Oryzias latipes: one gene and its partners. The main gene of each other region encodes a partner of the protein of the gene in region 3 in a complex. Links are inferred from orthologs where the notes say so. Each region holds a gene or a part of one and is shown on either strand. Other genes may lie near its edges. The genes, in order: prpf4, lsm4 and prpf3.

Region 1 (7,291 bases), on a different chromosome or scaffold from region 3:
GCGAACTATTGATTCGTTCTTCCGACCTGCGGCTAGTGTACCAGTGCCAGAGTGTACAGCAGGGGTCTCAAACTCACGGCCCGCGGGCTATTTGCGGCCCCCAAGATGATATTTTGGGGTCCCCGCCTTAATATGAAGGTTTAATGTTACTGCAGCCCGCCAGTTTGTATGAATGACACATTTTCATTGTCGTGCGCGGAGCTGACCAACCAATCACAGTGGGGTATACGACTCTTGGGGGCGTGACAATGACAGGGCTTGAAAGCAGGACACCTGACAGCCCCCTCCCCAGACCACATTAAGGAGTTCCTTACTGTCCTTTAGAACGGATTTATTCGCTCGTAATTTTCTAAATACATGCAGTCCGTGCTGAACTTTTCTCTGGGTCACACAGACCCGGAGGAAGGTTTAGGTTTTGGTTACGGTTACGGCGGCGCATCAAACGGTTTATGCACGGCTGTCAAGGCAGCTCACCGCTCCCGCGGGAGTCGGGTCAGCTGAGGAGAATAAATGTCCCACACCTACATGCGTGACAGCTAACGGGGCTTGAACTTTAAACACGCTCGAGCAAAAACAACATTAGTTTTAGACACACTGAAAATACGTGGGGAAAATGCAACGATAGACGTGTTTGAGATGAACATCGCCTGGATCGTTGGGGAGACCAGGCGGGGGGGGCTGTGAGATGAAGGCGAATCTGCAGCAAGACTGAAGGAGAACAGGAAATTGGAGTTGTCCTTAACATTCAATTTAGTTTTAATATTCTTCTCCCCCTTAGTATGATCTGTGTTATTATATATTTTATGATTATTTTAATATTTTGTGATGTATGTAGCCTTTTTTTAATGAATTGGTATTTTAAATTATTTTAATTAATCACTCCACTACAAAAACCATCAGGACACATGTCCCATAATGCATTATTTTGTAGTCATCTGGGCAGCTTTCAGTCAGTGCAGTACTAAATTTCCAGCTGCGTTCGCTCAGGTTGGGGCCTTGCTCCCGCCCCTTTCTCGTGATATTTTTGTTTTGATTGACAGTTGATGTTGGAGCAAAAACAAAAATATATGTCACACACCAGGTGATCTGCGCAGCGTTGAGTCCACCTGGGTGATCTCAAACATGCTTATTGTGCATCTTGGCTGCACCTATTTGGTGTCACAAAGATAAATTTCCCTCCGTTTTCTTTACTTATTTGTACTGTCATGACAGTGATGGTGCTGTCAGTTTACCTTCTTGTTGCATCTTCAAAAGTGCAGAATAAAATGTGACACTGAATTTGAAACAGCACATTGTAATTTCTGCATCTATTATTAAAGTATTTATTAGTAATACAGTGGAAATTAGTAGATTGGGTTAGAATGTTGATTTACGGTATGCGCCCCTAAATTTTCTGGTTGTGCCCCTAAAATTTTCAGTTGGGGGCCACAGTGCTCCCAGTGAAAAAAGTTAGTCTGGAGCCCTGTATATATATGCGTCACAAGGAAAATAGAAATAAGATCAGAAACTCGTGCGTTTACTTTGTCTGTTCTTTTCTCCAAGCAGAAACTCTCTTTTGCTGATGATGCAGCCGTGTTACTTTATTGATGGACGTATAATCTTCATACGCCGTCATTTAAATGTCCGAATCCGTCTTACTGAAGTACAGCTCTCTCTCTTTTTTTCTCCACACGTTTCCATGGTGACTCCAGAAATCGGCGATCCATTGAGAATGTTTTTATGTACCTGCTGTGCACGTGCATTAACCCAGGGTTACCAAGTGGAGCGTAATTATGCTAACTCATATCCGGTCTGTTGGAACCGACATACCCAGAGTAAGCAAGTTCAGGTGGATTTCAGCCAGAGTTCAGGGTTAAAGTCAGGGGAGTTTAAACATGACTTCTGGAATACCCCCCTGGTCTCTGTGGGGGTTTACTCAGGAACCTCTGGTTGGATCAGATCTTCAGACTCCCACAAAGAGGGGGTCAGAAGTCTACAGTGTTTGACCTCAAAGTCACAAGCTACTCCAAAATATCATTTTAAAGAACAAGCTCTGTTTCTTTTACATAAATTATGGGACACTAGAACTTAAGCTCATCTCTGGTTCTGTGGGTTTGGGCTATTCTGGAATTGAAGACGCCCTGTGACTACACCCAGCAATAAGAACCATACCATTTCTCCACTGAACCTCAGGTCTGAATCCAGCAGCCAAAACAGCGCCCCCTAGGGAGCAAAGTGGACGTACTTTGCTGATTATCTGACACACCTAACCACGAAACGTGAAAGGTTCTAGTTTGATGCTCCACTGGTTCCAGTTCAGTCAAAGGGTCTTAAAAGAATGAGGATGCTCTGGGTCACACGGATCAGTTTGTGTAAGGTTTTGGTTGACAACCACCTGTTTCTGTCATGACAGCCAGCTGTACAGAATCTCTGATTCGGAGGAAAGCCACGAGCTCTGCTCCGTCTGCAAGGAACCCAAGACCTGGAGATGAGCTCCGGACGTTTGACCTCCTTTCTGGACATCCATTCAGCAAATAAACAAACACCACGTGATCTGCAGTTTTACTTCTGGTTAGCAACAAATTAGGTTCGTCACGCGCTTTTACCAGTGAGCTTACCTTGAACGAGTGGGTAAAACGCGCGCTCGCGGAGCTCCACGACCTGTTGTTGAGACACAAGACGCGCGTATCCAGGTTTTTCCGGTGAACCGGAAGTAGTAGGTTGACCCGGAAGCGGTTACAGCACATATATCCGGATCATTTAGCGCGTGGAGGCAGCTTTGTCGGATTAAGGTGAGTTTACGAAAAAAGTAACGAAGCTGTAGCAGCAAAAACAGTTAAGGACTAGCACGCGCTCACAGCATCTAATTTATTCCTCCGCCGCACGCGCTTTCAATCAGCCACAGATTCCCCCGCGTGGATCGGAACCGGTTCCACTGCAGAAATTGGTTGGAGGTTCTAACTGTTGTGCAGCTTCGCCTGCAAAAAGGGTGATGGAGGGAAGAAATGTTCAGTGTTTAGTAGATGACGTCATTAGTACAGACTGAATGTCCGTTTGCCTCAAGAAACGCAAAACAAAGAAAAGACGTAAGAATAGGCTGGCATTTACGATAGGACAGGTATAAAACATCAAATTACCAAGGATAGAAGATTAAAACTACTGTCGACTAAAATGCTTCATCGTTTAAAAAGGCGACCGTACCAAAATCTCCAAATAGGGGAGGAGCATCTGAAAGAAACAGAGAAGTTCAGCCGGCTAACAAGGAATATTGTGTTTTTGTTTTTCATTTAACTTTATTTGTTTTTAATTAACTTTATTCATTTCGTAGACAAATGCAAACAAAGGGAGTCAAACGTACACATGTTAACATAAAATGATGGATTCCTAGAGAAGAAAATAATAGAATAACTGAATATGATAGAGCTTATTGATGCTAACAGATGTGAAGAATTTATGTCATGTTTACATTTTATTTCTAAGTATCACTTCGGGTTTGCTGTTGGGGACTTAGCTGAATATAGAATTTAGCAAAAAATTAATATTTTTATTAAAATATGAATCCTTTTTGTCCTGATTAAAATGATAGAAATCGAAAATAACATTCTCATAAGGGTGAAAATCAGTGCAGATCAAGTCAGTGATCGTCTTTTAGAGAAGGAGGCCAGGCGTCAATCGAGAGGGTCGGAGGGTCCTGTCCCGGGTAATTATGAAAAGCAGACCCGTTATGTACATTTTCAAGGCATCGTTTCAGATGATTTGAAACCACCAGGGGGGTATTCCAGAAAGCAGGTTATGCTAGCTCCCACGGTAAGTTTGAGGCTAAGGAAGTGGATAACCTCAGCTTTCTGTTCCAGAAATGGAGGTATGTTTCAGGGTAGGTCAAGTTGCCATAGCAACTCATGCTCTGAACATAACCTGGTCAGGAGCAGGTTTAGTTGAAGGTTAGTTTGTTTTTCAGAGATGTGAAGCAGCATGGCGTGTCCATTTGAAGATGATTTAGTGGATGAAGAAGCTCAGATAATACTTTTTCCACCATGAGAGGATGATAAGACCACATATGGATGTTGGAAAGAGAAACTTTATACTTTCATCTAACTTAATTATTTGCTTAAGTTAAGATGAATCTTTTTTGGAGTTCAGTCAGCTTAAAAATAACACGTAGTTATCAGACATTTATTTTACTTTCATTCAAATTGATTCAATGAAGTAGGTGTAACTTTGGTGCTGCTGTTAGATCTGCACCGCAAGGAATTGTGGGATACCATTCCCTTTGCCTGTCTGGACGGATTTGGGTTTAAGTGTGGGTTTTTGACCAAATGTGTTTAGTTTAGCTGTTTTACTGTGTTTTGTCTAGTTATTTTGTCCTGTTATGTTTAATTCTTTCTGCACCATGAGTGAGAGGGAGGAAGAGGCGGATGAGTTTATTTAGCACCACTAGTGCGCGTTTCCATGGTGACTCCAGAAATCGGCGGTCCATTGAGAATGTCTTTATGTACATGCCGTGCACGTGCATTTACCCAGGGTTACCAAGTGGAACGTAATTACGCTAACTCGTATCCGGACTTTTGGAACCGACATACCCAGAGTAAGCAAGTTCAGGTGGATTTCAGCCAGAGTTCAGGGTTAAAGTCAGGGGAGTTTAAACATGACTTCTGGAATACCCCCCAGGTGCAGAGATTGGGTTCACTTCTACTCTGTTGACGGCTACATTTTCTTCTGACCTGCGGGTTTACGACACAATTTCCAAACTCATCTCCAGAGTAAATATAAACATGTGAGCGGTGGAGGCGATGCGGCTCAATGGCTGCGGGCCGTTATCGTGTTGTGGGGATGGCTTTATAATAATAATTGTTATGAACATTCATCGTCTCCGCCTTGTTCTCACTGTCCACTTCTGTCTTGATTCACACTTGAGTTGCTCCTTTTTGGTCTCCTGAACAAAATCCGTAATAAACTGCATCTGGTCCAGAATTCCACTGCCCATATTGTCTCCAGAACTCCAACCTTTGATCACCCCCCCCCCCCCCCCTTCCTCCAGCAATTGCACTGGCGTCCAATTCAATTCAGACTCCTCCTCTTCCTCACCTTCAAATCCCTCCATAACCTGGCCCCTGTTTACCTCTGAGCTCCTCCAAGTTGACGCCTCCTCTCGTTTTCTCCGGTCCTCTTTTTTTCTCCAGCTTTCTCACATTGTTTTTTTATCCTATTTTTCTAAATGTATTTTTATTCTTGTTTTTACTGCTATGTACAGTGACCTTGTGTGTCAAGAAAGGCGTGTGTCATCAAATTATTATATGCAATTCTTAAGATGGAAAAATTGATATTAAAATATAAAAGGAAAAATTCTACTAAATTTGGTCAAAATTCATCAAATCCATTCAGAGCAGGCTTCTAATGAATTCCACTGTCTATTTGATGTCTGCATTTAATGTCTCCACCTTATACTTAAATTTAAGTGAAATGAAATTAAACCATTGGGTGTTTTTGCTGATATTTGTTCTCAGTCTGTTATGATATTTCAACTTATGGACAACAGAAGAAAACGTGTCAAGGATCCTCTGAAGTAGGCCTGCACAATATACCGCAAATTTATCGTTATCGCAACATTAAGCTGTGCAATATGCATACCGCAAAAGACGGCGAAAATCGCAATAAATGGTTACCTCAAATGTACAAAAACAAACTCATGGCAGCTTGAAATATTGAACACATGAAATGAATCCCTTTATGCATTTAACCAATCGGAAGGACCCGTTTATGTTGTTGATCAATCAGATGAGCCCTTATATGTTTGATGTTTGCCTCCTACGTCAACAAGGGTCATTTGGATTATAATTTTTAAACTGTTGTAGTGAAATGGAAATTATTTTTTGGTTGTTTTGCTATTTGTTTATATACCGCAAATTATATCGTTATCGCAATATTAATCACCAATATCGCATATCGCGAGTGTTCCTCATATCGTGCAGCCCTACTCTGAAGTACAGTAAACCCTTGTTTTTCGCGGGGGTTACGTTCCAAAAAGAACCCGTGATAGGCAAAACCGTGAAGTAGAAACCTTTATTTTTTTTACAATTATCATACAATTAAATCCTCTATTATACATTGAAAAGAAAGAACAAACCATTTTACAGGCTCAAGCATTTGTTTAACAAATAAAGGTACTTTAGAAACGTTTTTTTCAACAAATAACTTCTATACTGTTCTGTCAAATAAAATTTTAATCATCAATGTGAACAGAAGGCGTCAAATCGCGGAGATTAGCCCCGCCCACCGCGACCCGAGTAATTTGATTAAACGGGAGAAAATTTAAAATGGTTATGAAAAAAAATACAAAGTACAGTGGGACAAATAGTGACTCAGGTGTATTTCACTGCTCTTCAGTCTGAGCCGCTGCATCCTGATGGGTTTAAGAGAAACTCGAAATTGCAAGAGAATTTGCACGACGTAATGTTAATTTGGCAAGCTGTTGTAGGTATGTGGACATATTAAACTGCAACGTTATTGATGCACAGGTAGAGAAGAAGCGGAGTGACTTTTTGGCCAATCAGAATGCAGAACACAATGCACGATGCAAATCCGTGAAGTAGCGAAACCGTGAAAAGTAAACCGCGTTATAGCGAGGGATCACTGTACTTGTATAATGAATACTGTACAGCAGTTTTACACCAAATCCTTTGCAATTTAAAAATAGGACAAAAACAAATAAATGTTGATAAATTCTGTTTTGTAGGTTTGAATTTGTGGATACATTTGAATGAAACATCAAAAAGTTAATTTATACTATTTAGTCCAAAGTCTTTCACGCTTGTCTACATTCTTCATCGTCTCTTTTGTTCTGCAGCTGAGGAAGAGCAGCACGAAGATGTCAGACGAAGAAGATGCAGTTCCGGTTGCAAAGAAAAGCCGTGTTTTCTACGGAAGCCTGGAGGAGAAGGAACGTGAACGTCTGAGTCTGCAGGCTACAGGAAGTGATGCCGTGAGGGCGGGGATTAAGGCTGGAAACATCAACATTTCCTCAGGCAGGTCAACTGTTGAATCATCACTCTGTGACTTTGGTTTCTGTGGTGACCACGCCGCAGGGATCCTTCAGATTCAGGGTCCGTCGTTGTTCCTGTCAGCTTCGTCCCAGGCACAGACGCAAAAGACCGGCTCTTCGTTTTGTCCGACGAAAGCCGGACACAAACCACAACTAATAATTTCTGCTTCATCAACAATTTTGAATTCATCTTCCATGAATTAAAGGGACGATATCCATACATCACTCCCAAATCCAAGTCTCTGATTGGTCAAAGTACAAAAGGTGTAACTT
Region 2 (7,291 bases), on a different chromosome or scaffold from region 3:
GCATCACCGGCCAAGAGTCGGCTTCATCCTCATACCTCGCTAGAGAAGAGACAGAAAGTGTGCGGATGGGGGAGCATCAGCGATCACCGTGGCAACACAAGCAGAGTGACGCAGGTAGGAGCAGCAGAAAGGAAGATAGGTGCCGATTGGCTACCAGCAGCAGTAGCCTGTTCACATAGAGTGGGCGGTAAAGAGAAGGAAAACTCGGCACTGAGATTATCCACAACACTGCAGCGCATAAAGACTCACAGTCAGATTGCATAGTTAATTAGAAGATGCCTGCAAACATGATATACACCCTATAACATGCTTTTTGAAGCAATTTAGTTGAAAATACATGTCCCTATTTGATAACTTGAATTTGAATGTATGTCTTGTGGGAGATAATTATTGAGCACATTTATTGAACATTTGATTTTAATTTATACATTTTATTTAGTTGGTCAACCTAGTTTCCATTGATTTTTTTAAAAGATGCTTTTGCTTTAAGAATTCACTGTCAAATTTGAGGCTTTTAAGTCCTAACTCCCTTTCAATGACTAAAGAGGTACACGTGAGGATCTTTGGTACCTGTTTACTTCTATTATGTGTACTAAATTACATAGAAAAAAGATCAAATGCACTAAATTGCAGCTGCAGTTTAAATAGAGCTGTTGGATTTTTCTTATAGTTGGGTGCAATCACCATTAAATCCCCATTTTCAGCTGTCACATATCAAAATGTCTGCCATGCAAAATCTTTATTAAAGCATTTTATTTAATGGACAATGAAAATGAAAAAGAAGAAAAAACACTCAACTGTGCACCAGCTAATGCTGCCCTCTAGTGGCCACAGCTTAAAGCTGTCGTGTCTCAACTCCAACCTCCATCTAACCCTTGTGCCATCCTAGGCACGTTAACATTGGGAGGGGGTCATCTAGACCCCACAAGACAGCGCGCTAAATCTTTTTTTTTCAATGATTTGTGATCTTCACTAGTGTCCATGGATTACATTAAATCCTCTTCACCTTTATCCACTTTATCCGCTCCAACTTCAGCCTCCTTTTATCAATATTATCAGTCCTTCCTCTCAATGTGTCCAAACCGTCTCAATCTATTTCCCTTCTTATCTCCAGAACATGAGCTGTTCCTCTGATGAATTCATTCCTGATCCTCGTCACTCCTAAGGAAAACCTCAACATCTCTAGCTCTGCCTCCTGTCTCTCTCTCAGAGACACCATCTCTACACCACCACCAACTGCTCTCACCTGCTGTCTTGACTGACATTTTTTTCCCCACACTTCACACCTGGGACTTTCCTCTTTTTGTTCCAACCTGCTTGGACACACGTCTTCATCTCTCCCACTATCTTGAAAAATGTTGTTCTGAACCTTTCACTAAGAATTTAAAGTCCACCACCTTCTCCGCCTGTGCCTGGTAACCTTAATATTCTACTTCGTTTCTTCTCATTTACACAGATGGTCTGTCTTGTGGTGGTTGACCTTCATTCTTCTTCTCTCCAGAGTAAACCTCCACCTCTTTAGATATTTCTCCACCTTAAAATTGCACCATTTTAAGTTTTACAGATTTTAATTATAGTACTTTTTCTGCATGATCATGCATAATTTCAAAGCCCAATTTTTCGCAAGGAAAACTAAATGTCAGAATTTCTTAAATTAGCTTGCAAGTAATAGGGAAGACTAAAATAAATCTCAGCCATTTATTTGAATCATAAATCTATCAGTTATTAAATTTATGTAACAAAATGTGTGTATCATATTTAACTTGTGGTCTTAACTCTCCAAAATGAAAATGTTCTTGATTGTAAAAAAATAAAAAAGCTTTAAATCTTTATCTTAAAAATCAAGCAAAACAGCAGCTAATTCCAAATATTTTCTTTTCATGAGCCTGAACTTGTGTTGATGCTTTAAATAGGATACAGGACATGCTAAACAGGAACAGAGGTCTTTACACTCTGCAATCAAATAGTAATTTTACTATAACAATTTCAGTGCTTCATTTCTTCAAACTGATCTTTAAACAAAAAGTTTCAGGTGTAACAAACTTTTGGGGCAGTTCCCTAAAAATGAAGACTATTTTATACATACATGGTCTTTAACAAAAACTGCTTTATTGTTTCTCATGTCATTACAATAATATTCATCACTATAAAAATAAAGAGTTTTTCAAACAAAAATTCTTATGGTCAAATCGTGTCACTTATCTGTGACTGGATGTCAGCTGACTATCAGCTTAGATTGGCTAATGAGGAGTGAAAGACAGAAACAAACCCACACCAACCATGTCACTCAACAACTAGAATAGAAATGAAGAGAATTCTGGGGCTGGAATATTGTCTATCATGAAATCTACCCCTAAAGAAAAAGACATCCAAATATAAACAATTTGACACTTCCAATTGTACCAACAGATTACTTTTGTGACTAAAAAGGGGTTTTCATGACAAAATATTCTTCTTGAAAGAAAAGAAAAAAAGAAAAAGTATCAGCTCTTGGGTTTTACACAAACATGGTTATTCTTAAAAACCTAAAAAGAAAACTCAGTGCAAAACCACTGCCTCTTTTGAACATCTCAGTGACCTTTTGCAGCGATTGGTTCTCTTACATATCACATATCAGCAAAAAAAGGAGCTGAGAGTTAAATTATCCACAAGTACTGAAACAAAAATAACAGTTAATGTGATGTGAAAGATCCATGACATCACATCAGTGCTGGTTCTTCATTCCCTGCTGTTTGCTTGGTTTTTTATCCGGCTGCTGTGGCTGCTGGCCTCGACCAGGACCTGACATCCCTCTGCCGCGGCTGCCAAACACACCTACATACAGACACAAAAAATGTCAAATTCAGCAAGTTAGAATAATAAATTCCTAAACAAATAAAGATGATGTTTCACCAGATGTGTTTAAAAGCTTTAACAGAGGGATTTTTTACTTATTTTAAGCTGATCTAAGTCTCATTAAGGCAAATCATGACAGAACAAATGCAGAAGTTGCTTCCTCTCACCTCGGCCGGCTCCGCCTCTTCCTTTACCCTGCTGCTTATTCTGCTGGGCACCTCCACGTCCACGACCCTTAGAAACCACCTCATCCTTCACCATGTCAATAATCTCATCTGGAATTCGCAGATACTTGATGGTACTTCCCCTGATGTAGCACTCTGGCATCCTCCAAAACTTATCACCATCCTGTGGGAAAAAGACCAAACGATGAGTGTAACCAGTATACTTCAAAGGGTCTATGCTAAATCCCTTTTTTGAACTTCCCGGTGTATTATAAAGAAACCTCAAACCAGTATTGACCCATTCACGCATTTCTGAGAATTCCTCTAAAAACCTGTGCTCCAGGAACCAGCCACACCTAACCCACAAAAACAAGCGGGTTCTCACGAGCTGATGTAGATAAGTGAGAACAGCCCCTTCCAGGAAGAGTCTGCGCTGCCAGCCCCGCCCCCAGGCTAAAACACACACTCCATGAAGCTAGTGGTGTTTGGCAAAACTCTCTTTACATGCTCAATATGCACATTCATCTTTACGAAAGTTTGAATGTTGTTTGTTTCGTGGGCGAGACACAGACATGTTGTTGATGCTGGCTATAGGTTGACATCATGGAAGTGCCGGTGCCTCAGATCCAGTCGTCTTGCTTCCAGGTTGGAAAATAACTCAGGAAAATAACTAATATTCATTCATCATTTTTTAATTCATCTTCTAAACCCGCTTTGTCCCTTTTGGGGTCACTGGGCTGCCGGGGCCTATCCCAGCTACTCATGGGTGAAGGCAGGGGGCTTCCTGGACAGGACACCAGTCTGTCACAGGTCCACAAATCACTCACCCATGCACACTTGCATTCACACTTATGGACAATTTAAGGTAACCAATTAACCTACGAAGGTGGGAGTCCCCGGAGAAAACCCACGTATGCACGGGGAGAACATGCAAACTCCACACAGACAGGTTCTTTTTCAGGTCCCCCAGCCAAGTCTTGGACCTGGCTGGGCTTGCAGTTGGCTGGGGGACCAACAGCAACCAAGTCCCCAAAACTTGGCTGGGGGATCTTGCGCTAACCACTGCGCCACGTAACTAATATTTAATTTAAAAAATCTTTCTTTTGTGGGCCAAAGGTAATATATATATGGATATTCTTTACCATGAATGGTTTAGGAATAGCATGGTACAGGGCCTTTAACAATAATCAGTCCTTTTTCTTCTAACAAAAAAAATTAGCGTTGAGGTTTTTGTTCCAACATGTATCAAAGGATGTTTTACTAAAACCATTGCTTCATTATACATTAGTCTTTATATTTTAAAGGCTCACTTCAATTATCTTTTGATCTATTCCCAGTATTTTGATTTTGTTTTTTTTCATTATGCAGCTTTAAGCCAAAATGAAAAACTTGTCTTGTTTTCTAGGACAGTTTCTGCAGAGTGACAGAAGTTCATTAGAAATATACCTAAAAAAGCCTGCCGCATTTTCCAAGGTCCCTTTGTTTCCACTCTCCTGCTAGCTTACACACCCTCATACCCCCAATCTAACACCAAGTGCAAGAAAATTGGTGGGGAATGTTGAAGCTATACAGACGTACAGTTTAAAGCCAGATGCCAGCTCAGACGAGGAAAACCAAGACGTAAATGGATCTAATTGCCTACAAACTTTCTTTATATATGTCCGTCATTATGAGAAAAATGCCACAAAACATGTTAAAAACCAAACCAAACAAATACACTATTTTAATTGGGGTGGGTCTTTAAACGGCTAAGGTAGTCAGAATGAAAACTGAAGGAAACAGGTAAGCGACTGTTAAATTTAAGCTAATTTTTTTTATTTAAGGTGTGCAGTTTATGGATCGTTCTCCACTGAGAACATGAGAGCAAATCTGTTACCCTGGATGTGCAGATGACTTCTCTCAAGTTGATGTTCATCCAGTTGTCACAGCTAACCAGATGACCGTTGTAGGTTTCTCCATTCTTCAGTTCAACCAGCTGAAAAAAATCAAAGTTCATTGAAAAAAAGGTCAGCTGGTGATTATGGTTTTCTAAAAGGTTCTTTCTTTATTCAAAAAGAAATGCACAAAAATTATTGTTTAAAGAAAAACATGCAAACAATCTCAATAACAAAACAAAAAACCTGATCTTAAAACCACAAGTAACTGAATAAAATGGTTTAACCAGTAATCACCAGATAAGGAATAGAAGGAGGAAAGAAAAGCAATTATTTCTTACCATAGGATGGTTCTGGGCCGTCTTCAAAAGGGACAAGGGAAGCTGCGAAATAGTAGAAATGGGTCCGATTTATGATCTCTATGATATATTAAAATAATGCATTCTAAAAGGAATATTGATTCAGAAATGAAGAACACGTCTGAATGTATTTCTGTGTCGGCGGAGAAACTTAAGCTCTGTTCCGAACTATAATGATTCGTTTGTGTTTAGTTTAGTACTAAACGTGTATCTGAAATGGTGACCCCCCCCCCTTATATATTTATATAGAAAATAATTTTAAAAAGAACCACTTGTATAGTCAGCGTTCCACAAGCAGAAAACAATTTAGCATTGGTTGCTAGCGTAGCTTAGCCTTGATTTGCGATGTTTAAACCAGTTACATGGGATTTTTGAAGCCAAAGAACAGGTCAGTATTTTTATATAGTGTGTGATTTTTACAAAATAGTCCATTTGTAAGTAATAACTTACCATTCTGGTAGGTTATGTTTGTGCTGCCTTAGATTAGCAACACGATTTTTACTCGCAGACTCTTCTTCGTTTTCTACGTACTCGGTGCCACGTCTTATTAAAACATGACTGCCCCCTAGCGCAAAACATGCGCAAACACAGGAGCATTTTCTTTTGTTCTTTTACTGTGACGAAATTCAAAAATAAATACAGAGGACCAAGTGTAACATCTATCTATCAAACACAGGAGCATTTTCTTTTGTTCTTTTACTGTGACGAAATTCAAAAATAAATACAGAGGACCAAGTGTAACATCTATCTATCTATCTATCTATCTATCTATCTATCTATCTATCTATCTATCTATCTATCTATCTATCTATCTATCTATCTATCTATCTATCTATCTATCTATCTATCTATCTATCTATCTATCTATCTATCTATCTATCTATCTATCTATCTATCTATCTATCTATCTATCTATCTATCTATCTATCTATCTATCTATCTATCTATCTATCTATCTATCTATCTATCTATCTATCTATCCATCCATCTATCTATCCATCCATCCATCCATCCATCCATCCATCCATCCATCCATCCATCCATCCATCCATCCATCCATCCATCTATCTATCTATCTATCTATCTATCTATCTATCTATCTATCTATCTATCTATCTATCTATCTATCTATCTATCTATCTATCTATCTATCTATCTATCTATCTATCTATCTATCTATCTATCTATCTATCTATCTATCTATCTATCTATACACAAACATTTCCTTCAAAGCATAAAACCGCTTAATAATATCTTATAGCAAAATCCTGTGTCTCAAATTTCAGATTGTACCATTGCTGATTAGTTCGCATTAGGTATGAGTGTCTAGACTAAACATAATACAGTAATTTTTTCTTCATTTTCAGTGAAATGCATTTTTATTCCTTAAATTAGTACAGAATAAAATTAAAAAAAATAATGATGATAAAATGAGGATAATAGAGAAGAAAGAGAAGAATAATATTGAATAGATCACTGCCACAACTCCTTGTATTATAAAAAAGGAAAAGCTGGAATTTTGTTGCGTGTACATGTGACACAGTGACAATAAAATAAGTCTATTCTATTCTATTCTGTTCTATTCTATTTTATGATTAAGGTCTGTCTGGTTTTGGTAAAGTCTAAATAAATGTGACAGTGGTTTAAAAAATAATAATTTTTTTCATTACCAAATGGATTCATGTAATTGAATTACGTGAATCCTTATATAATTTGACCAACACGTTCATATTTTTGCTGGTGCAATTTTTGCAACAACTAATTTATAGCTTGGTACTTAATTAAAGTCTTATTTTATGATAAAACACAGGCAAGACAATTGGTTGTATTAAAATAGGATATTTGTGTAGTTTTTATTTATTTATTTTTTCTTTTTGTTTTTTCCCTAAGTTGACATTTCTCAGCCACCGTAGCCGTCATTCCGTTGATGGCGTCATTACGTTGGGTTTGACGCAGCGTGCAGGATGAGAGAGAACGGCAGGTTTCTTTTGATTGTGGGAGAAGGAGTCGTCAGCTGTGAGGGTCTCCGGCTGTTTAAGAGGATCTGTTTCGGCGTACA
Region 3 (7,032 bases):
CCAGATTCAAAGAAAAAAAGGAAAATAATAATAATAATGCGTCTCTGATATTGTTTAGTGGGCCGGACCACTGGTCTAGCCATTCTGTCAAATTTTAGAACCCTTTTTGGCCCATGCTTCTTTCCAGGGAACGGCAGTCCTTTTTTTAAACTGATATCACCACAACCCAATAGCAGTCATCACAACAAATAGGTCAATGGCCTCATCAATCATCTTTGCCATGCTGCAAACACAAACATTGCAATGTCACCAACATAGTCAAAACAATGTCATGGCACGATAGTGCCACTGTATTTTATTTAGGTTAAAGTCTGTGTAAACAGATGACGTTTATTTTTCTATTTTGGGTATTGTAGGCAAACTTTCATATAATCAATTTTGCCAACATTGGTCTAGGTATATAAATAAAACGACAGCATTAATCAATAAATAACTGTTTTTGCTGTCAACTTTCACATGACCATTTTTGTGTGTGCAAAAAACGATATATAAACCATATATCCTTCATGAAAAGAAGAAGCAGCTTCCTTTATAGTACTGTCTTCATACCCAGATAAATCATACTGTCAGAAACCTGAGCATTATTTTCAACTCTAAGCTAACTTTTATCCCTCATATAAAACGTGGTTAAAACTGTTTTTTATTATCTTAGAAATCTGGCTAGGGTCCACCCACTACTTTCTCTTGCTAATATTAATATTGCTAATGCATGCTATCATCGTCAGTAGAAGTCATTATTTTAACGCCTTCTTTGCTAGTCTTCCAAAAACCAACATTAGGAACCTTAAGCTTCTCCAGAATTCTGCTGCATGAGTTCTCACCAAGAGCAGGAGGCGGGCTCACATCACCCCAATTTTAAAATCCCTGCATTGGCTCCCCATATGCTTCAGGATTGATTTTAAGATATTTTTAACAGTTTTTAAATGTCTTAATGGTCTTGCGCCTTCTTACCCATCGTATCTTTTAGTAAAATATGAACCCTCTGGTGCTGGTCTTTAAACCATTTCCACTGTAAAAACTGAAACCTACGGAGGAACATCTCTTCAGCACTATGGCCCCATTTATGGCCCCATTTATGGAACAGTCTGCCATGGCGTCTCAGAGCCGCAGAGAACATAGTTCCTTTTGAAAAAGGCTCAACACACATCTTTTTAACCTGGCTTTTAGCTAATTTCCCTACTTAAATTTCTTCTATCTATCTATCTATCTATCTATCTATCTATCTATCTGGTATTTAGTCGTCTATTTTATTTTATGAATTTACACTAGATTATTTATTATTTATTTTTAATATTCGTTATTTCATCGTTTTATTGCATTTGTTTATTACTTTTATAAGTACGTTTACTTTTTAATTCTCGTTTTAATTTATATTTCCGGGGCTTTCTCGATTGGGATCTCTCCCTCTGGGTCAGCTGCTGTTCTTTAATCACATAAAGATAAATAAAAATAACTTTAAAGTCCCACTTTAAAGTCAAATTGTCTTTTGATCCATTTTAAAAAGTGTTCCCAGTGTTCTTTTAATTATGATTATTCCGTTTTTTGGCCCATCCAAAAAAACCTGTAGTTTTTTAGAACATAGTTTCTGCAGAGCAGCAGTATGTCATTAGAAATTTGTCTCGGACTTTCCCATGATTTCATTGTTTACACTAACTCCAGCTAGCTTACAACCCTCGCCTAACAGCAGTGCAACAAAAATACTACATCTAGCCGTACATTTGTGAGCCTCGTGCTAGCTCAGATGAGGAAAAGGAAGATGTACATGGATCCATTTGTTTACGAGTTGATGCACTAGAATGGAGCAGAGCAGGGAGCTTCTGGTCTGCCAATTGTAGCACCTGTCACATTACAAGCTTTTTCAGATGGCACTTTTTTCGTCTACTTCTGATTCACAAATGTAAATATATATCCATCAGACTATTTTCATTGGAGTGGGTCTTTATTCACTTTACAAGTACTTTTGATTCATTATTTGGCAGTAGCGTTTTATCATCATGTATCAAGAAGACAAGACAGTGTGAACAGAAATGTAAATTCTTTGATTCTGATACAGAAAATATACTAAACAAATATTAAAATACATGACAGCGGCCTATTTTGCATAAACTACCATCGAAGAAATAATTCCCATTTTGCATAAAAATGTAAAAGTTTAATCTGTGCTAAACAGAAATGGGCACTGTCACTCAGTCACTGATGGACGAAAAACGTACTTGAAAATCCTGAGTTCAAGTCATTTAACTAAAACCTAGTCTTATTTTTTATTTTATTTTGATTATGTATTTTCGACGTAGGTATTACGATGGAGCCATTATCCAATACGGGCTTCACATAATGGAAGGCCTAACTGTAAACACTGTTAACGACGAATCGCTAGCTTAGCTAATATTAGCGGCTAATTTGCAAAGACAACGACGCCAACACTTCGGCTCAATACAATTGCGAAACTCAATTTTTATTCTACACAACCCCCGTTTTGGGGTTCTGCACATAAAGCATAACCGAACCACAGCAGGGTTTTGCAAAATTCTTTCCTAAATGCATTTGACTCAGCTTAAATATGCTGGCTACAGGCTAGCAGTTAGCTTCAGCGAGAAACTACTCACATTTCTTTAGCCACTTCATCCAATAGCGAACAATAAGGCTGTAATGTTTCTTGTTTTCAATGCACCAGCTTGAGAGTCCTTGTATCGACTCCATGGTGTTAGACACTGCCTGAAACCGGCGGTCCAACGACGCTTCCAATGCAGCGGTGGAGCTGCGAGCTCCCTGGCCGCTCGCAGCCTCGGAACCGGCCGCCATATTTCAAGCTCTATCAACTAATGATAGGGACGAGGGCGAAGGCGTGATGGAAGACAAGGCAACGCAGGGGAGACCACGCCCCCCGCGAGTCATTACATATGTATTAACTTCATGCCATAAAAATACCAACCTACACACCAATATTTTAACTCGGTATTTTTTTTTTTTATTTGGGCTAAAAACTTATGAAATGACCCAGGCAATTGAAGCGGTTAGCAAACAAAATCAAAGATGAAGTCTTTTTTTCACATTTTTTAATTAAGGCAGTTTTAAATGTTACAAGGAAACATGGCTAACCTCTGTGGATAGGGGGTCAACACACTGATGGGTCAAAAAATAAATGATGCGGTAACTGTGTGAAAGGTGTCTAAAAGCAAGGTTTCAAAAAATAAACTTCAAAAAGTAAAAGGTCAACTTAGTGATAGTGTGTTGTCATTAGGACATTCTTCCTAATCAACAAAGACAATATGATTTAAGTTGAGGATTTTATAGCAGAAAATGAGCCGAAACAGACTGATTTAGGTCGGAATCAGTCGGTCTAAACAGGACAGACTTGCATCCAATGAAATCAACTAAATGCAAAACTACATATACTGCCTTGTATACACAGGAGCTCACTTTTTCTTAGAAAAACAGGTTTAATGTGCCCCGTATTTTCTGTTGAAGTCTCTTTATTGAGTCTTTGTTCCTTCCTCCTCAGCAGCCAATAGATAATTCTGGCTATTGTGAGGCAGCAGGTCTGCAGGTTTGACTGTAGCAGTCCTTATTTGAAACAGATCTCTCCCCTCGAAGGTTTCAATCATCGGTGCCGTCCAACACACTATGGCTGAGGGCAAGGTCCCAGTAATGTTCTGTTCCGTGCTTCTTGAAGTGTTCTCGGGCCATGCTCTCTGTGGGACACTGCTTGAACTTGATCTCTCCATAACTTCGATCTTTACCTGTTCCCTAAGGAAGCAGAAGGAACCATTAGACTTGGATGGACTAAAGAAGTTCTAAATGTGCAATGGAAACAGAATAAATGCATGTTCACTCACCTCCCAAATCAACCAACACTTGTTGTTTCTCTTTGTGTCATCAACATCTGGATCTAAGATTTGAAAAATGTGAGCATATTTTATTTGAAGCAAACACTGAGCCAACAATAGTACGGTATGTAGAAATAGCTTGTGTCCTGATAATTGACATAAACCACTTTTGAACCGTTATCAGTGGTTGGTGAAAACTAAAAGCTACAAAAGATAATTACCCATAGCTGTATAAATAAACTGCAAATCTCAGACACATAATTTCTTAAACTTGCGATTATTATTTTTTATAATTTGCAATCAATTAAGACGTTTTTCCATAGCAGCAATACAAAAGCAGTAATCTTACCATCTCTTTTGCTACTGTGTTCTTCCCACTTGATTCTATGCAGCATCAACTTCCTGAATTTTTTCTGGGATTTAGGGCCTTCAAGGGAAAGAGACAATTGATTCTTTATTACATTTCATATATGAATTTGCTGGCATTTTCTCTTCCCAGTTCAGATCAAGTGAGGTTCAATTGAAAAAAAAAATCAGTATTTTCTCTCTATAATGAAATCTTCTAAACAGTAAATGAAAGGCTATATAAACAGTAATAATTGAAACATGTCAATAAATGTGTTATTAAGTTTCAGCAGATCAATATAAAAGGACATCAATATAATTTAAACAGATTTCTTCCTTACCTCCCTCTACAACAACAAGATTAACATCTCTGTGCAGAACTACTGTTCCAGTCAGGTACAGCTGGTTTGCATTGGCCTCCACCTTAAACTTCTTTGCAGGATTTGTCAGGTTACGGATTCTGTAAGATACAACATTTATATTGGTTTTCAAGGTGTAAAAAGAGCTTTGAAAACAGATATTTAAAAATATATATATTTGCTGTTCCCGTCCTCAAATGCATACCTGTACACTGAAATGTGAACTCCGTTAGTGAGGTCTTCTTTCAACTTCTTGACCTTCTTCTCTTTTCTTTGCTCTGTTGAAAGCTTTCGAGCTGCATTGGCTTCCTCATGAGCTCTGAAAAAGTGTCGCTGTTAGAAAAACACTTAAGAAAAATGTGAGTCTCTGTGGATTCTCACGGTAACAAAACACCTACTTTTGTCTTTTTGCCATCTGTGCTCTCACATGGGCCTCTACTTTAGTGGGGTCCTGGACCGCCTCCGTCCCCAAGACTCTCATCAAGTTGGAGATACGAACTTAAAAGTACAAAAAAAATCATCATGTACCATTACTTGACCTGATTACAGGCATAGAACAATGTTCACTTGTGTGCAAGTACCTTTAGGTTCCGGTGGTGGCATCAATCCAAGACGGACCTTTTCCTGCAATTCTTTTTGTGCCTCCCTCCGCGTTTGTCTCCTTAGTTTCTTCTGTTCTTTCTTTGTCAAATACACACCCAGGGTTACTGGTTTATCAGTGTCCACTGGGAAAAGAAGAACAGTTGTAAAGAATATAACTAATATTAATGGAATGAATGTAATCAGAGCTTTTTCTGTCAAACATGTCAAATAAAACATTTTATTCTAGAACCTTGAAAGAAGCTAGAAGCATTAAAAAAATTACACAGAAAAACAAATGTGTGTACTTTTAACTTAGAGATGGCAAATTTTTTGCTCTGCATTTACTATAATAAATAAATGTTTGTTTCCTCAGGAACATTCCTTGATACAAAGTTTGCCATTTCAAGACAAAAAAAAAGTTCCTCCACACAATAATAAAAAAAATTCATTAAAGACACTGAGGCAGAAAAATGGTAATTGGAATGGTTCTTCAAAACAGTCTGAGACTTTAAAGTTTACAGATAAAGAGAAAAAATACTTAGACAAAAATCCCTTACAAATGTCTTTAGAGACCAGTTTTGACCACAGGAAGAGTTTAGATATTGTACAGTCAAAACTGGGATTAAGTCTGGCAAGGGGTGCCTAACAGGATGTTAGCTGAGGACATGTTACAGTGGATTTCATCAGATATAGCTACAATTTTCTAATTTAGTGGTTAACAAATCACTTTTCAAAAGTTTATTGGACTAGGATACTTACTTTACGGTAAAGCTTTCTGTCTGGCTTTGTCAGAGTTCCCTCATTACTACAATTAAAAAGCTTTATAGTGCAGGACAATCTATTGCCCTGGACTTTAAAGGCAAACAGCAAATATGACATCACCTATTTCACGAAGTGAAAATCTAAATTTATGACGACTTTTTATGAATCCACTGAGAATGAAAACATTGATTGTTTATTTATAAAAAAATGCATCTAAACACTTTTTTCGCAAAATTGTTCGAACGCAATGCATTATGGTCTATATTCGCCAATCTAGTGAGCATCAATGCACACTGTTTTTTTGCAGAGACGTCTGGAAAAAAATTTAGGGCACTCGATTCTGAAATAGTAGATTCTGAAAGCACTGCAAAATGGCGAACGAACTATAAATACAACTATGCACTGAATAGTGAAGGAATTCATAAATTGCCTGTTTTTTCCTGAAAAACACACATAAAATCTTATGGATATAAGACGTATCCTCGAAACATCCATGACAAATAGCTGTTAACAGTCTATTATCAACATCACAGGGCAGAAACTGTAATTTCTCAACACATTCTTTTCCACCTAAACTTACCAGGAGGTCTCATTTGTGTAGGGTGTTCTACCAGGTTTGTTACTCCAAAAAATTCCACGTTATCAAACCTCGTTTCCGGTTTGCTAAATAGGAAAAAATAATAAAGTTAACCAAACTAAAAGAAATGCACAGATAAGGTTAACATATTGGTTTAAAAACTGCAAAAACATTTTAAAGTTTTTTTTCTTACAAAACTATGTTGGAGGGCAAGATGAAGGAGTCCCACCACTCAATACTGGGTACTTCCCCATCTCCAATCTCCTTTCTAGGCGCAATCAATGCCAGTTTGGTGGAAGCCTGAATTCCTGTCTTTTTAGCAGCCTGGGAAATCTCATTCTGAAGCCGTTCCAACTGGGCCTAATGGGCAAAGACATTTATGCAAAAGGCATCAAACAAGGTGTTTTTGAATTGCCAAATTGTATTTCTGAATAATTAACAAAGGTCTTGAGATGATAATGTCAAGCTTTTCACCAACCTTGGTTCGAACTCTCTGGGCAATCTTCTCAAACCGTCCGGGCTCATGAAATTTGAAGCCTCTGCGGAGGCGCTGGGCAGGCGTAATGAGCACACGGTTGTC

What was found.
Region 1: prpf3 (region 3) and prpf4 share a complex: the UniProt entries of both Homo sapiens proteins name them as parts of the precatalytic spliceosome. The link is inferred for Oryzias latipes from reciprocal best matches to the Homo sapiens genes PRPF3 and PRPF4.
Region 2: prpf3 (region 3) and lsm4 share a complex: the UniProt entries of both Homo sapiens proteins name them as parts of the precatalytic spliceosome. The link is inferred for Oryzias latipes from reciprocal best matches to the Homo sapiens genes PRPF3 and LSM4.

What each region holds. Positions count from the first base shown.
Region 1 is NC_019870.2:2,717-10,007, forward strand, and holds the start of prpf4 (U4/U6 small nuclear ribonucleoprotein Prp4), read left to right. Parts: upstream 1-2,678; 5' UTR 2,679-2,771; intron 2,772-6,823; 5' UTR 6,824-6,844; coding exon 6,845-7,001; intron 7,002-7,291. UniProt on the Homo sapiens protein: Plays a role in pre-mRNA splicing as component of the U4/U6-U5 tri-snRNP complex that is involved in spliceosome assembly, and as component of the precatalytic spliceosome (spliceosome B complex).
Region 2 is NC_019862.2:13,831,496-13,838,786, forward strand, and holds lsm4 (U6 snRNA-associated Sm-like protein LSm4), read right to left. Parts: upstream 5,806-7,291; 5' UTR 5,686-5,805; coding exon 5,683-5,685; intron 5,257-5,682; coding exon 5,215-5,256; intron 4,975-5,214; coding exon 4,876-4,974; intron 3,184-4,875; coding exon 3,003-3,183; intron 2,815-3,002; coding exon 2,705-2,814; 3' UTR 2,088-2,704; downstream 1-2,087. UniProt on the Homo sapiens protein: Plays a role in pre-mRNA splicing as component of the U4/U6-U5 tri-snRNP complex that is involved in spliceosome assembly, and as component of the precatalytic spliceosome (spliceosome B complex).
Region 3 is NC_019874.2:18,953,327-18,960,358, reverse strand, and holds the end of prpf3 (U4/U6 small nuclear ribonucleoprotein Prp3), read right to left. Parts: coding exon 6,931-7,032; intron 6,813-6,930; coding exon 6,646-6,812; intron 6,539-6,645; coding exon 6,456-6,538; intron 5,257-6,455; coding exon 5,113-5,256; intron 5,030-5,112; coding exon 4,930-5,029; intron 4,851-4,929; coding exon 4,737-4,850; intron 4,633-4,736; coding exon 4,514-4,632; intron 4,255-4,513; coding exon 4,177-4,254; intron 3,890-4,176; coding exon 3,837-3,889; intron 3,748-3,836; coding exon 3,598-3,747; 3' UTR 3,040-3,597; downstream 1-3,039. UniProt on the Homo sapiens protein: Plays a role in pre-mRNA splicing as component of the U4/U6-U5 tri-snRNP complex that is involved in spliceosome assembly, and as component of the precatalytic spliceosome (spliceosome B complex).